Coturnix japonica: one gene and its partners. The protein of the gene in region 2 interacts with the protein of the main gene of each other region in a biochemical or structural test. Links are inferred from orthologs where the notes say so. Each region holds a gene or a part of one and is shown on either strand. Other genes may lie near its edges.

What was found.
Region 1: of the proteins of LEF1 (region 2) and NLK, one has a biochemical effect on the other in vitro, tested with the Homo sapiens proteins (4 studies listed by BioGRID). The link is inferred for Coturnix japonica from reciprocal best matches to the Homo sapiens genes LEF1 and NLK.
Region 3: the proteins of LEF1 (region 2) and TLE1 form a complex in vitro, tested with the Homo sapiens proteins (2 studies listed by BioGRID and IntAct, with this or other methods). The link is inferred for Coturnix japonica from reciprocal best matches to the Homo sapiens genes LEF1 and TLE1.
Region 4: the proteins of LEF1 (region 2) and MITF form a complex in vitro, tested with the Homo sapiens proteins (2 studies listed by BioGRID). The link is inferred for Coturnix japonica from reciprocal best matches to the Homo sapiens genes LEF1 and MITF.

Annotation. Positions count from the first base shown.
Region 1 is NC_029534.1:8,031,342-8,034,906, forward strand, and holds part of NLK (serine/threonine-protein kinase NLK), read left to right. Parts: intron 1-749; coding exon 750-959; intron 960-1,789; coding exon 1,790-1,891; intron 1,892-3,565. UniProt on the Homo sapiens protein: Serine/threonine-protein kinase that regulates a number of transcription factors with key roles in cell fate determination. Positive effector of the non-canonical Wnt signaling pathway, acting downstream of WNT5A, MAP3K7/TAK1 and HIPK2.
Region 2 is NC_029519.1:33,552,734-33,556,298, forward strand, and holds part of LEF1 (lymphoid enhancer-binding factor 1), read left to right. Parts: intron 1-1,838; coding exon 1,839-1,971; intron 1,972-3,565. UniProt on the Homo sapiens protein: Transcription factor that binds DNA in a sequence-specific manner. Participates in the Wnt signaling pathway. Activates transcription of target genes in the presence of CTNNB1 and EP300.
Region 3 is NC_029547.1:35,490,880-35,495,188, forward strand, and holds the start of TLE1 (transducin-like enhancer protein 1), read right to left. Parts: upstream 2,813-4,309; 5' UTR 1,826-2,812; coding exon 1,802-1,825; intron 1,578-1,801; coding exon 1,477-1,577; intron 215-1,476; coding exon 151-214; intron 59-150; coding exon 14-58; intron 1-13. UniProt on the Homo sapiens protein: Transcriptional corepressor that binds to a number of transcription factors. Inhibits NF-kappa-B-regulated gene expression. Inhibits the transcriptional activation mediated by FOXA2, and by CTNNB1 and TCF family members in Wnt signaling.
Region 4 is NC_029527.1:12,968,759-12,972,323, reverse strand, and holds part of MITF (microphthalmia-associated transcription factor), read right to left. Parts: intron 2,794-3,565; exon of another isoform or gene 2,729-2,793; coding exon of another isoform or gene 2,687-2,728; intron 1,635-2,686; coding exon 1,407-1,634; intron 271-1,406; coding exon 187-270; intron 1-186. UniProt on the Homo sapiens protein: Transcription factor that acts as a master regulator of melanocyte survival and differentiation as well as melanosome biogenesis.

The DNA of each region.
Region 1 (3,565 bases), on a different chromosome or scaffold from region 2:
ATTCAGTTTTCCTGTAAAGTCAATTTAAACGGGGGGGAAAAATGTCGCACAGATTCTTTAAAAATTATCAATGAAACGAAGGTGTTCCATGTTGGGACATTGTTCCTTCTGTGCCCACATAGACATCTGTGTTCTCCTTCTGACTCATGGGTCAGAATTGCTGCTGTGCTGGCAGCCAGGGCTCAGGCACTCTGAGGCGGTGCATGTGCTCACAGGGACTTCTTAGGCCTGTGGAATTATGCAGGTGTGCTGTATAGCAATGCTGAATACCAAGACAGATTTCTATACACTGATTTGCTGTGCGATCCAATTGTGGAAAAGTCAGTCTGCTTTCTTAACCCTTCTGGTTAAGGAAACTTTTAAAAATCCCCCGAACTGGGGTGCGACAAGGCTGAATCTGCAACGTTTTGGAGGCATCCCATGAACAAATGAGATCTAGCTTGGGATATTCTGAACCCAGGGTTTACTTCGAGTGCTTGTTTTTGTGTGTGTGCTTTCAGACTGAGTCCTGCAAAGCCAACTAAAAATATACTGAGATTTCAAATAAAATGGTGGGAAGTTTAAATGGATACGGAACAAAGTAACAACTTCTACCTATTCCCTCTTCCCTTGGCTTGTGCAGTTATGGATTATCCGATTCATTTAAATGCTGGCTTGGAATGACATGCTCCGTTACCACCAGGCTGCCTATTTGAAGCGCATTAAGTGTTTTGGTTATTTTAATTTTTTTATTTACCTTCTCAATTTAGATTTGTGATTTTGGATTGGCCAGGGTGGAAGAATTAGATGAATCTCGTCACATGACTCAGGAAGTTGTCACTCAGTATTATCGAGCTCCAGAAATCCTGATGGGCAGCCGCCACTACAGCAATGCTATTGACATCTGGTCTGTAGGCTGCATCTTTGCAGAACTGCTCGGGCGAAGAATATTGTTTCAGGCACAGAGTCCCATTCAGCAGGTATCATTAAACTTCCCTCTAAAACAGTTTGATGGAGTTAGTTATACCGATGCATTTTGAATCTTGAACTTCCTTTTGTTTTGCTTAGTTTACTCATGGGCAGGAAACCAAACTCTTTGTAACACTGAAGCGATGGTTTCCAGATGTTGTTAAAAGTAGTAATAATTGTCATTAGCTTTTGAAATTTGTGATTTTTTTTTTTATTCCCTTTAATCTGCTGCAGTACCAACGTTTACTGTGGCATTTTAAAGTGATGTAAATGGGATCAATATTTTTCTGACTATGAATAAGAGAAAGTAACGTTCCCATCAGTGTATAACAGTATTGTATTTGAGTTGTGGGGCTGATGGACCTGGTGGTGCCTCACAGAGCAGTGCTTCTGCCTGGGAGTGGAGCTGAGATGGAGAGAAGCCACCAAGTGTAGCAACACGTTTGGTGTACAGACAGTAATCACATTTCTCACTTTGATGCCAGCAGTCAATGAGTGATTTTCATGCCTGTGTAATGATGGTAATGGCTTTAATGGGTTTAGTCTCAGAGGGGGGCTGGGCAATTGCTTGTTAGCATGAGTGGATGGTGGTCATGAGGGAACCCTTGGAACCAAGGAGCTGAGCTCTCTACTGGCAGGATTTATTGGTTGTTTGCTTTTTAACTTTGACTCCTACAGGATGTTTTTGTTTTCATTCACAATAGGAACATATACATTCGCTTCTGCAAAAATACAGTGAAAGCACTGGTTCACGTGTTAGTTTAGCTCCAGAATCTGCTATCATAGTGAAACATATTAATATATACCTGAAATCCCAATTGTGTATGTTCTGTACCTGCAGCTGGATCTGATCACAGACCTGCTGGGAACGCCCTCACTGGAGGCAATGAGGACAGCGTGCGAAGGCGCCAAGGCACACATACTCAGGGGTCCTCACAAACAGGTACAGGCTGCACTTGGCCTTCGTGGCATAGCATTTCCTCTGTGTAGATACTACTGCTGTCTCATTCCTGTGTTTCACATCTCAGTTGAATTCTCAGGCTGGAGCACGGACATTCATAAATACTTTGTTTGATATCTAATTTCAAAGTTGTCTCTGCTTGTGAACTGAGTTACTAAGTTCACTGACGGTGGTTCTGGTTAATAGTGCAGTTATTCAATCTCCTGTGCAAATGAGATGTTTTCTCTGTTGTCAAGTGCATCTCTGATGAATCCCATTTATATTGTTTGAATTGCCGATACAGGTGAACATCGCTCCTGTTTTTGAGGAGATGATGTTTTGATAGCTATTCTGAATGAAGTTGTTAATTTAAGCGATAATGTTGGGAAGAGACAAATTAAATTGGCAATACAGTTCAGAAAGCCCCAGAGGGACAACTTTACAGACAGGATAGAGAGTGTTAGAAGAGGAAACTGCCCATTATCAGGATCAGTAAGCAGAATGGTCAAGCAGATCCTCAGCAGAGGTCCCCTCAGACAGCCGTGCAATGACCTGAGCTGTTTGTGAAAGGTTTAAGATGACACAGAAAGCTGAGGTGCAATGTTCAACATAACTGGTGTAAAAGTTAATAAAAATCCAAACCAGGGAAAAGAGATGAGATGAGATGATACCATTATGCCACCTGGAAAACAAAATTAGCTAATGTAAAGTACGGATGCAAAGAAATGCCTAAGCAGGAATCCCTAACAGTGGTAAAGCATTATGCCCGCCCAGTGTAGCCAATTTTGTGATTGTTAGATAGTAAAAAATGAACAAGATGAGTAACCAGTACATGTTAATACATCAGGTCTTTCCAGTAGAGTTTGCATATTTATTTTCTCCATATAGAAGTAATTTCTCAAATGTCAACTCACCACAATGGTAGTTACCATAGAAATGAGCACTGAATATATCTTGTGCTGTATTATTAACGTGCGAGTTGTACCTCCTAGGCAGCCTTGATTCCCTACATTGTGGTACGCGCTCTTTCTTTTAATGTTAATAATAGGAGGATTTCCTTAAGACTTTCTCTCCCAGTTCTCAAACAAATGAAGTCTAATTGTGTTCATTAGCACACACTAAGAATTGCATATTTTAAGCTTCTTGTCTTGTGCTCCCAACATTTCAGTTGTTTCAATGCACTTTGTGTACAGCTGTGTAATGCAGTGTACAAATGCAGTGCACAACTGCATCCAGGTGCTTTATGGAATATGTTGTTTTTAAATTCTGATGGTTTGATAATTGCTTGGCATTCCTGCAGTGCAGTACTTGTGCCTTTGGTAGGGCAGGCAAGAACTCCAGTATTGATTTGTTCTGTTTGTTAAACCTAAATGCTTTATTAGGAATTAAAAAGGGAAGAGGAAATTTTTTTGTTTTATTTTATGTTTTGTAATCCCAGTGCTGAAGTTGTTCTCTACAAGCCACTGAAACCATTGTTTTATCTATTGAATTATGGGAATGCCAAAAAGCAAGCAGGTGAAATGCTATAAAGTATTTCTGATATGGCCAATACACCAATCTATCTATAGGAGCTAAACTGTAAGCTGCAGTCTGTGTCTACTGTTACCTCTGAGCAGCACTGCTTCATGGAGTGTCTATGGAGAAAATATAAATGCATCCCCTAGAAAATAAACATGC
Region 2 (3,565 bases):
TGAGATCAGCCCCAATGGAGTCCGTGGGGCTTTTTAAAATAAGTCAGCGGGCCTTTCTGGCCCAGGCCAGAGCACTCCCATTGTTATCATTGTTTTATTTTATTTCTCAAGCTCCGGCTCTGCAGACCCCAAATGCTGCTGATGGAGACGCAGCCCCTTTCTGTGTTAATTTTAAACCCGCTGACAAGCGGTTTGCTTTTCTCCTCACTTCTCACGGTTCCCTCACCCGTTGAAAACCACAGCCGCGGGCTTAGGGGATAAGGTGCCAAGAAGTAGAAAATAAAACCAAATCTGCTGGGTGCTGTGGAGCGAGGGGTGCCCGAATTGGCTTACTGCGAGGACAAACAGGAGACTGCTGAAAGCAAACAACCCTGATAGCATGGGCATGCGTGACGATTACAGCCAATATAATACAAAATGTTAATTACTAAAATTTGAGAAATTAATGCTGATTAGCAGCTGTGTGTGTGACCTAAATACATCTATTCCTTGATCGTTATTCATAATGCACAGTTTGTTGTTGATAAAGTAATTGCTGAATGGTGGGCTGGCCCATGAGTCTCACAGCTAAAGACTGAGGCCTGATCTGTAAATCAGCTGAAATTTGTTGGCGTCTGTTTTGGTTGCATGTACACAGACTGGGACGATGAACAGCAGCCCACGCTATCGCCTTTACAACCAAACTCTTACATATTATTGAGAATTCATATTGCTTTTATTATTTGGTTGCAAAAACAGACCTAATGCTTGTTGGCTTTAAAACACCTACCAGTGCCGCTTTCTCTCTCCATCTTGCAAAATATAAGACAAGGCCAAAGCTTAAATTAAAATCCTCAGGTTCTTATCTCTTTCCCACAGGAAAGCAAATCTGTGTTGAAAACCGTAAAATTAAGAGGAGAGCAAGGATAGCATAATTTAGCAAAAATTCATGGCACCAGATTCTGAGCTATATGACTGGAGGGATAGGTCAGACATTAAGAAGATACTGCCTGCTAATGCAAGTTCCTTAAGGTGGTGCTCTGGAAACAAGGAAAGCAGAAAATGCGGCGCTGCTTCCCATTTGCTCCTTCTTCGTCTGCTCCTACCAGCCTTAACAATAAATTGAGCTGTCCATTGAATAGCCCTCCTGGTTTTAGAAGTCCAGAGAAATCCTTGGTGTGGAGTTGGAGCATTGTCACTACGTCTATTCGTGCCAGGATTTGAATAGTGAGACTCAAAATTAATTTCATTGGGTTCCTAAATGATTTTCTTTTTTTTCTCTTCTGTTAATTCACAGTGCTTGACAGGCTGTCCTCACTGAGATTTATCAGCGGTTTTCTCTGAAGGCCTATTGCTTTTTTTTTTTTTTTCCTTTTTTCTTTTTCTTTCCCTTCTTTTTTTATTTTATTAAAAATCTGTTTGTGGCATAATTGTTTTAGCCAAGGGGAAGGGTGGCAGGATGGAAATGAGGAGTGCCTCTCAGTGCTGGGATCGTCGCTGCGGTTCATCCTGCTGTGGGAACAGCGACTTTTGTCTCATGCAGCACTACCGCAGAAGCACCGCGTTGGCATGGAGGAGCCCCACTGCCTTGCGGGCTTGATTCACGAGGGTGGTTTGTGGGAACATCGGCTGGCAATACCCGCCTTCGGGGCCCCACTGGGTGTTTTCAGCGCTTTGGTCCCTCCCTGGGTGAGGTGGCAAAGCTTTGCAGCTGTCCCCGGGGTGGTCAGCAGTCTCCTTCCCAGATATCCTCTCCAGAAACGTCACTGCCAACCTCTCTTAGCTTCGGTCGTACCAATATGTAGAAACTGTATTTTGGAAGCCACACATCGCTAATGCTGTTTTCCCTTCTCTTGCAGTCCAACAAGGTGCCAGTGGTACAGCCTTCTCACGCAGTTCACCCCCTCACCCCCCTTATCACCTACAGCGATGAGCACTTTTCCCCAGGCTCCCATCCATCTCACATCCCCTCCGACGTCAGCTCCAAGCAAGGTGAGCCCACGCTGCTGGGGGGCTTTGCTTTTCATGTTTCAGAGGGAGGGTTCCCACCATGCGTGCCCACTTTCCGCTCTGCCACGATGCTGGTATTTTGCTTGGCTGTTTAAATCTTTGTGCTCTTCCTAATGTGATAATTCTGGCTTGTTTTACTCGTCAGAGCCTTTTAAAATCTCAATAAGCAGCAACCAGTCCTCACCACCCCCTGTTGTGCCTGAGGCTTGCAGCATGCAGACACAGAAACAGCAGTCATCCCTCACTATCCCGAAAACTGGGAAAAAGCACTTTGGTTCAGCTCTTATCAAAACCTTTTCTTTTTTTAAATCAAAATTGCATTTTGTGATTTTGTGTTCTTCTTTATAATAATTGGCATAACTGTAGTCTAACCACCATCACCCAAAGAGAGGCTGTTTTAGTTCTGACTTTCCCTGGATGCCTTGTTTTAGTGTTGGCCTTGCTATGCTGATAATAACATGGGCTACCTCCAGAAAATACCATAGACATGTGGTTATTTTCCTTTACTCCAGCCTGCAGATGCATGTATAATTCTTTTTTCAGAGAAGATGAAGCAAATGGAAACCTCATGTCCTTATTTGTCTTCCTTCTTCGTGTGAGTGCCCAGGAGGAGGACACTGGTGGTCGTTCCTTGAAGCCTCGTGGGTGCTGTGTGTGTTAGACTATGGGATTTGCACCCTGCAGCTGCAGCTTGTGAGCACAGGAGGTTTTGACTTATTGAACGATGGGGCATAATTTTCCTCCTCATCTCCTGCAGACCCAACCAGGAGGCCTCATTTGTGCTTACTGACTGTCCTCCTTTTCTGCCTTGTTTTGCTCTCTCTCTGCCCAGCCCATCTCTCATGTAGAGCTCTAATATTTCCAAACAGGCTCTTGATTCCTCCTCTTAACGTCTGGCAAAGATGCCGACGGACAATGCAGGCCGGAGGCTTCTGCTTTTTCCTTTTTTTTTTTGCTGCGATGGTCTTCTTGATGTGTGTGGTCTTCCCATGCTCCCATCCCAGCACCACCAGTGTGTCACAGCAGCCGCAGTGAAGTGGTCCATGCTGTTGCTGCTGAGGGAATATTTTCCCTCAGGTCCTCTGCCAGATGCCTCCAACCATTGTTTCTGTCCTCGCCTCCCAGTGTGGGGCTGGAGCAAGACACTGCCTCACTGCCCCAGCCCCATTGCTGGGGGTCCCACAGCGTCTCGCCCCCAGCATCACCTCTCTCACCATGGGTACCTCTTGATGGACACATGGCTACCACCTTTCCATAGGCAGTTTATTCTTCCCTTTTGTCTTTCTTACTTTTAACACTCCTGAGAGCAAATGTGGCTTCAGATAGTGTTGGCTGCTTCACATTTTCCTCCTGGGCATCAGGTAGCTGGTGTTTCTCCATAAGAGGCCTGAAGTTTTGTCCCCCACACCAGAGAGCACAGCATCCTCACTGTGGGTCAGAAATGTGCATTTTGGGGAAGGAACAGCAGCCCAGCTCTTTACACACAGCTTGATTGGGTAGGGGCAAGGTCATGTCACTGCTCCTCAGGAGCATCAGCTGTCACCAAAGATGGGAGCTTCTTCTTTTTCTGACCACT
Region 3 (4,309 bases), on a different chromosome or scaffold from region 2:
CAAAATGCCTTACCTGCTTGTGCATTTCAATGTTTAATCCATATGACATTTCATAATACTGCAAATAAAGGAACACATTATTTTTTTTTATATTGGCTTGCATTGTATTATAAACTATTAACTGAAATAAAGAAAAAGAAGCAAACTTACCATCACATAGTGCCTCTGCATTTCTGTCTTCTCACTTGCCAGTTTCTCACATTCCAATTTAAGGCTACAAAATAGATCACACTTCAGTGTAACTACTATGTCATTTGTTTTGACATCTACCCACTTTATTTGTATTTTGACAAAAACAAGTAATTATAAAACCTCATAACTCACACGCAAACAGAGAGAAAAAGGTCTAATTCATACTTCAAACACAAGAGTTGAGAAGGAAATTCAGAAGGTATTTTGTGGTGCTGACTGAGAGCTGCAGCTGCCACCAGAGCCACACAAACAGGGCAAAGGACATTGGCTGTTGGGCTGCAACAGGATCAGACATCCCCCAGAGTTCCTCTGAGCAGCCAGAAGTATTTCTTCACATGTGACATTCCGAGTCACAGCCAAACAGCATCATTTGTGGTTAGAATTACATCTTGGGCCTACCTACTAACCTCAAGGCGCCTCCAGCTTGGGTTATCTTGCCTGCAGCTGGACAGCGGTAACTCTGACCGCCATTTGCTAGCAAGTCTGTTTTCAGAAAAGTTGTCTGTCTCATCACAAGCAGCAGCATCACTTTAACGACTCTGACTGAGCAAAGAAAAGCAGCAACATTCCCTTTGTTTTCTTTAGGGCCACCAGAAAGCATCCGATGGAACAGATGCTGTGGAAAGCAGCCTTTTTCACTTACAGCTGCAATACTGAATGATCACAGCTTATACTGCATTTCTAAGTAACCAATGGCTCGGGCAAGTCAGCAATCTCAAGTGAGAATCAGACAGTGGTGTGGTGAGAAAAAGGAGCCTCAGCCACAGTCGGATGAATTTCTGTACAGAAATTAACAGAGCTTTTATTCCTATCCTGACAGCTCAGGTGCAAGGGAGTACAGAATCGAGAGACAAGTGCCTCTTATTGCCGAACATCCTCTGCACGCAGGAATCCGTTCCGTACGGGACTCCCAGCACCAAAGCACCACGCAGCGCAGCGCAACGGAGCGCCCTTCACGGCTTCAGCAGATGGACGCTAACATTACGCTACAAAGCTGCCATCCTCTCGACTCTTTTAGCACTGCGCACCGGCGTCGGATTCACCTTAGCACGAACACCTCACGTAACGGAGGAGGGCTCTTCCTCAGCCTTCCGTGCCACGACATTCTCCTCCCGCAACACCCACACCCCACACCCCGGCCCGGCCGCCTCCAGCCGCGCTCCCGCCCGAGGGCCCCACACTGCCCTGGCCCCGCACGCCACCGCCTGGACGCGGCCTCTCGCTGCAGCCCCAGGCGGGAAGAGCGGATCCGAGCGCCCCCGGTGCGACCCCACCGCCGCTCACCTGTGGTACTGCGCCTGCAGGAACTGGAACTCCTCCTTGATGCGATCCAGCGACTCCGGGATGGTGAATTTGAAGGGCTGCCCCGCAGCCTGGTGAGGCGCCTGCGACGAACGGACCGGGAAAGAGAAGCACGGTCAGACCGCGCGGACGGGGCGGGACGCAGCGAGGGTCCATCCCGCCGCCCTCCCCGTCCCTGCCGCGACCCCGGCCCCAGCGCTTTTCCTCCCGTCGCGGGGCGGCCACGCTCTTCCCCGCCGCTCCCCGCGCATCGAGGCGGAAAGTGACCGCCGCACGCAGGGCTGGTTCTGCCCGTCGCCGTACTCACGGGGTGCCGGCTCTGCGGGAACATGGCTCCGAACGTGCCTCACACCGCCCCGCGGCGCTCAGTGCTTCCGCCGCGGGGACATCCTCCGGCTGTGGCCGCTCTGTCGCTGCAACTCCGTGACACGGGACAGGCGACGCAAGTCGTGAGGGCGAGCGGCTCTCTAGGGGGCTCCGGGCGCGGCCGTCACAGCGAGGGGGGCGGGCGGGAAGCCTCCGGGGGCGGCCTCGCTGCTCCCGACCGCCGGCGGCGCATGGGGCAGCCGGAGCGGAGCTCCGCGGGGGGCGGGCGCGAGGCGGCCCCGCGGCGACGGAGACACCACAACAAAGGGCGGAGAGCGCCCGTTCCGCGCGGGGTCAGGCGGGCGACAGCCTCCGGCACCGAGCGGCTCCGCGCCTCAGCAGCACGCGGTGCATCGCGATCTCCTCCCCATTCTCGTCCTTCTCCTCGCCGTCACTCTCCACTGCCTGGCGCTGCCCCACCGAGGTGAAGTTCCGACCTGTCGAGGAGCGCGGCCGTGCCGTGCCCTGCTCCGCGCGGGGGAACGGAGCGCTGCAGACCCGCGGGATGCGCTCGGCGGGACGGGAACAGCCGGGCCGGGCGGGACGCGCCGTGCTCGCCGCACCGTATGCATTAACACGCGGTTTCACACTCCTCCAGCTAACCAGCCACCCAACCCCTCCCACAGCCCTCAGCGAGGGGGGAGAGATGGCGGTAGTAGCCAGTCGCCTGCCTCCGCAACAACGTGGGTGCGTGACGCGTCCGGCGCCGAGGGCCAATGGAACGAGCGCGGCTCCGTCTGCCTGTCAGCCTTTCGCTGGAAAGCGTTTCTGGCGGAGCGGCGGGAGCCCTTCTTGCCAGCCAATGGGAGGGCGTGGAGTGCAGGGAGGAGAGTAAGGTCTGTGGGAAGGGGAGCGGGGAGGCTGAGCTGTCATTCAAAGTAACGTGGTGCTACCGGCCGGTCGGGCGGGGAGGTGGGGTTGCTTCTCGCCCAGCACGCGGCGCCTGCGCGCATGGGGTCGGTGGTGCCGGGGGGCAGGAAGGCAGGGCGTAGCGGGCCTGCTGTCCGCCAGGGGCAGGGGGCGGTGCGGAGGTCTGGAGTAGGGGTTTGGTGAGGCGTCGCGCGGCTGGAGGGTGTCTCCCAGCGCTATACGGGGTGGCTGGGGTACGCGCTGTGGCGTTGCCCCTCATTGGTACTTAGGGCTGTGTAAGGAACACGAAGTTTGGAGTTAGGAAACCTGACTTGAGGCGGTACCGGGGTAGGAACTCGTGCAGTGCTGCGCTGTGCACAGTTCTGTATCAGAATGGCCAAAGGAAAAGGACGTGGAACTGCTCAGAGCCCTCAGACTGAATACCCGCACACCCACTGAAGCTGCTGGGCTCTGGGAGCAGGGCTCTGCATCACCTGCCCGTGTTCTGCTGGCCTCGTGGGCCTGTGGACACCAGTGTGTGTGCATGGGTGTGTTTAGATTATGTGCATAAGCACGCACATTTGTGAATACATAAATACGTACAGGTACACGAGGACTGTTCTTCACTGTTTTTCAGAAAAGAATGAAAATGCCTTTACTGTGAGGTGGTATTTCCGAAGGTGGGAATATAAACCTGTTTGGTGCTCCGCGTGCATAATTGGAGCTCCTCCTCCTGAGTTCTTTTCTCAGCTCTTCCCCTGTTGCCTTGGACAAGCCAGTTCACCACTCTGCTCATGGCATTGGAAAGCTTAATTAATTAATACTTATGAAGTACTCAGATCCTAAGATGAAAGCTACCATAAATATGCAGGCCATTATTATATACTTTGCGTATCTAGCAGCTTTGGAGTCTGTAATAACATAGCACTTGCCTAACTTTGGTTGTACTGTGCTTCACTTGCTGGCACAAGTTGTTAATGAGATATTAACAGATATGATATTAAAACAACACTGTGCTTTGGAACATAAACAAAAGGGTTTTTGTTTTGTTTTGCTTTATAATTGCCCACCTCCATGGAAGTTGAAATGTCTTGTAGTCTTTATTTGTCATCATTAAAATGTCCAAGGCATGTTATAACAGAGAAGAAAAGCTCAATTTTCCTGATTTCTTTTAACAAGTGCGTTTTACCACCTTCGATCCTAGAATCAGTCATTTAGGAGCATTTTGAATCTTCTCCATCATAAACAAGACAAAAAAGCTGCAAGAGTTTGGTACCAATGGTACTATTTCCTTTTCTTCCAAGTGTGGGCAACTGTCAACAATAATCAACACTATCTGATAATTAACTAATTTGTACTTTGGCATCATTAGCTGATGGAAGCACAAAAAATAATAATTTTTGTTAGATAAGTGTAAATCTGGAATATTTCCAGAAAACCTAACATCCTTACTCATGGGAGTACACAATGCCAGAGAAAGATAGGCCAAAATTAGACCAAGCATGTTCTAAAGAGCTGTGTTTGATTCAAGGCAGTATTTTGCCATGGTACTGTAATTACCCTATGCAGTTTTCAAACAGAATTACACAATTGTTCTTAA
Region 4 (3,565 bases), on a different chromosome or scaffold from region 2:
AGCTTTTTCAGGTTGTTGATGCTAATATGTAAGGATTCAGCAGATTTATGATTTAAGAATGTTTTTTGTTGTTTTACATTCAACTTCTTAAGAACATTACTGGGCAAGTTTAGTGTTTATTATCACTTCAAATAAATATTCTCATCATAAAGTCTTCAGTGCTCCAAGTCCTGTGTCATCCAGTACCTGCATGCATGATGCTCGTGAGTGGGTATTCAGAGCCGGGCACTCACTCTCGACCCTGCTTTGCTCTTCAAATTTATAAAATCCCTGCAGAAATAAAAAGGAAAAAAAGAAGAAAAAAAAAAAAAAAGAAAAAAGAAAAAAGAAAAAAGCAAAGCATGGATCTGAGTTCATGGCACAGCCTCAGTCCCAAAAAGAGCACCATATTTCAATGTTGTCATGCACACATGGGCCTGATGACACAGTAAAGCAAAGCTGTAAATAACTTGAGGAAAAAATATATACGTATTTGGGTGCAACTGAGATGGAACTTGGATTTTCACCTCTTTTGAAGCTATGGAGCACAAGTACATTCTCTTGTATGCGTGAAAGCAATTTTGCAATCACTGTTTTTCTAAGCCGGATAATGCTTTCCTTTAGCGCAGAGTGCATCTGTATTAAAACTCTGGCATAAAGGCCAGAGGACAAGGGCAGCTCTACAGTTCTCTATGATTTGTCAAGATGCAAAGTTATTAACATGATTCGTGTAACTGCCGTTATCTTTCACGTAATCTTCCTTCCACACCTGAATGCATAAAACATGCATCTAAGTTTTCGCCAGCAAAGATTAAGATGGAAAATGACTTCTGTACATAGGCTAGAGAAGTCTCATATAAGCAGCATTGAGCACCAAAACAGCAAATTAGTAACATCTGATCTGACATGTTAGCTGAGATCATCTGGTATTCCAGCCACACAAGAGACTTGTTCAGGTTTTACTGCAAGAATTTCTAAAATCTTTTAAAATATTTCACACAGAGAAAAAAATATCTGATTTTTTCAGTTACTATTTGTTATGCTCTTTGTTCCCTTTATACTGAATGAGCCATAAATAACATTATTCCAGAAAGCTGCAGCTTACAAAACTGCTTTGTACTCTTCCAAAGGTCAATTATTCACTGTGTGCATTGAGCAAGTGAGAAGAAAAAGATTGAAGTTTTAATAAGCATAAACTGGGTAAAATAGTTCACAGAGGAGGAAGTTACAGACAGTTTTTGTGCCCAATTGTTGTATACAAATATATTCGTTAGGGAGACAGGGAAGTAGTAATTGCATTTTCAAGGGACACGGTTCAGAAAATACGCCAAACATAACTTAACGATGAGCAAACACAGTTTGAAACAGAAAGAAGGCAGAATGAGATTTCATTTCAATGAAGAATATACACAATGAGAGCATATTACCTCTTTCTCACAGTTGGAGTTGAGGGTGAGCATAGCCATTGGACTGTTGGGTGCACTGCTTCCAGTTCCAGGGGGCATGACATGATCACCGGGCTGGTTTGGACATGGCAAGCTCAGGGCTTGGTTGGCATGTTTATTTGCTAGAGTGGTAGAGAGGTACTGCTTTACCTGCTGCCGCTGGGCTTGCTGAATATGGTACTTGGTTGGATTCTCAAGGTGAGTCTGCACCTGTATGACAGGAGTTAAGAGAGCTTTATTGTTTTACAGCGTAATTGCATATAGAACCAAGCTGGGCTATATGTTTGTGACACACACCAGCCCAGGAGCATTTGACTCAAAGTACAAACCTGCGCTGTGCCGAGGAACTCAGCACTTTGCTAATTCACATTCAGTGGCAAAGAATGAGTTTATGAGATAATGTTTCAATAACTTTCTTAACGGTAAACCAACAAGTTCTCATTACTCTTCTACGTAACAAGATTTATCACTTAAAATCCATGCTTGGCCTCTCCAGTTTACGCAGATAGTCCAGAATGGCACTCCCCTGTTTAGACCTTCAGATATGTGATGCTTTATTTTTACACAAATATGGAAAAATAAGTAGCAGAGCAGAACTCGCTTTACTCATTGATAGCCACCAACTAAAACCAAATTTGATCAGTTCCCGTCTCTTACCAGACTGGTACTAAAGAAGAAATTACATTCTTTAGTTTACGTTACATTTTTTTAAATATCAAATGAATTATTTAGAAAAAAGAAGAATATGCCACCTTTTTGCCTCCAGATTAGTCATATCTCAGATACGTGGCCTAATCAAATCAAATAAGACATTCTGTTTAACAGCACATTAAACAAATACAGTGCAAGACAAGAAGTGTCACAGGCTGAATAAAGCGCAATATTTCATATATATTTGAAAACATATCCATCACACTGAACTACTCTCGTTCACCTTAAGTAAGCAAGAGAAGAAAGATCTTTTATTTTTCATGCAAAAATTTCACTGTATCTTGGAAACACTATCATGTATCTTGCATCATTAATGTCTGTATTGAAAGGTTGAGAAACTGAGATATAATAGTTCTCTGAAATGTTTTTTGTTTTGAAAAGTTCTATTAAAGCAACTTCTCTCGCCGTTACATCTGACCATGTACGTCCCCATTCATTTTTGTGGAAGAAATTATAATAAAGCATACTAGACATCAGAGGAAAGGGATTTCCTGTATATTTAAGCCTTCCTAGCAGCAGGTTTTAAAGTAAGTCTGCAAATAACAACTCACCTGATAATGATTATACTCAAGCATTTCCAGCATAATACTCATACAGTTGTGAGAGAAGTGACTGCAGTATCCTTTCCTTTATGCTACTCCAGTCAGAGACTCATGCATGGAAGCACCATGGAAAAAGCTGCCCCAAACCAGAAGCACTTGAATGCCACTGCCCAGACTTATAGTAACCTACGGTAATTAGCTACGCATGTAGAGAAACAAACAGTTCACAAGGGCTCTTCTTGGAGCCGTGCAAGTTTAGCCCTAAGTATTGGTATTTTTTCCCCTGGCTTTGACGTCATGCTTTTTCATAAACATAAAAGGACCTTTTAAGTGATGGGCTATCAAAGTCAGATTGACAGTTCGCTCAAGGCTAACTCGCAATTCATCTTTCGTTCCAGTCATACTAATAGACAATGGTATTTTTCTTTAGCGCTAAGGTTAAAAGTTTTTAAGTACAGAGTAGGAAACGACCGAATAAACCCCACAAGCCAACCACACACCCACCAGCCATGGGGTACACTGGGCAAAGCTACAGGGCTGCACTGCCCTGTTCTCAGCCTAGAGCCACGGCTGCCCATCACCCAGCTCCACAGAGGACCTGCAGCTCAGGAGGAGGATTTCAAGGTGCTGGGCCACTTCTTCAGCCTCCCTCAACCTCCACATTAACTCCAGCTTACCATACAGCTGGAAGAGGTTTCCCAGTTTAGGAACAGCTGACAACAGGCTAAGGCACAACCTGGATATACCTTCATCCACACTGCCCTGTTACTGCCCACAGTCATATAACATCCGAAGTTGGAAGGGACCCATAAGGACCACTGAAGGTCACCGAGTCCAGTGCCAGCACCTTCCAGCCCTTTCTTATCCTTTATACCCGACAGAAACGCT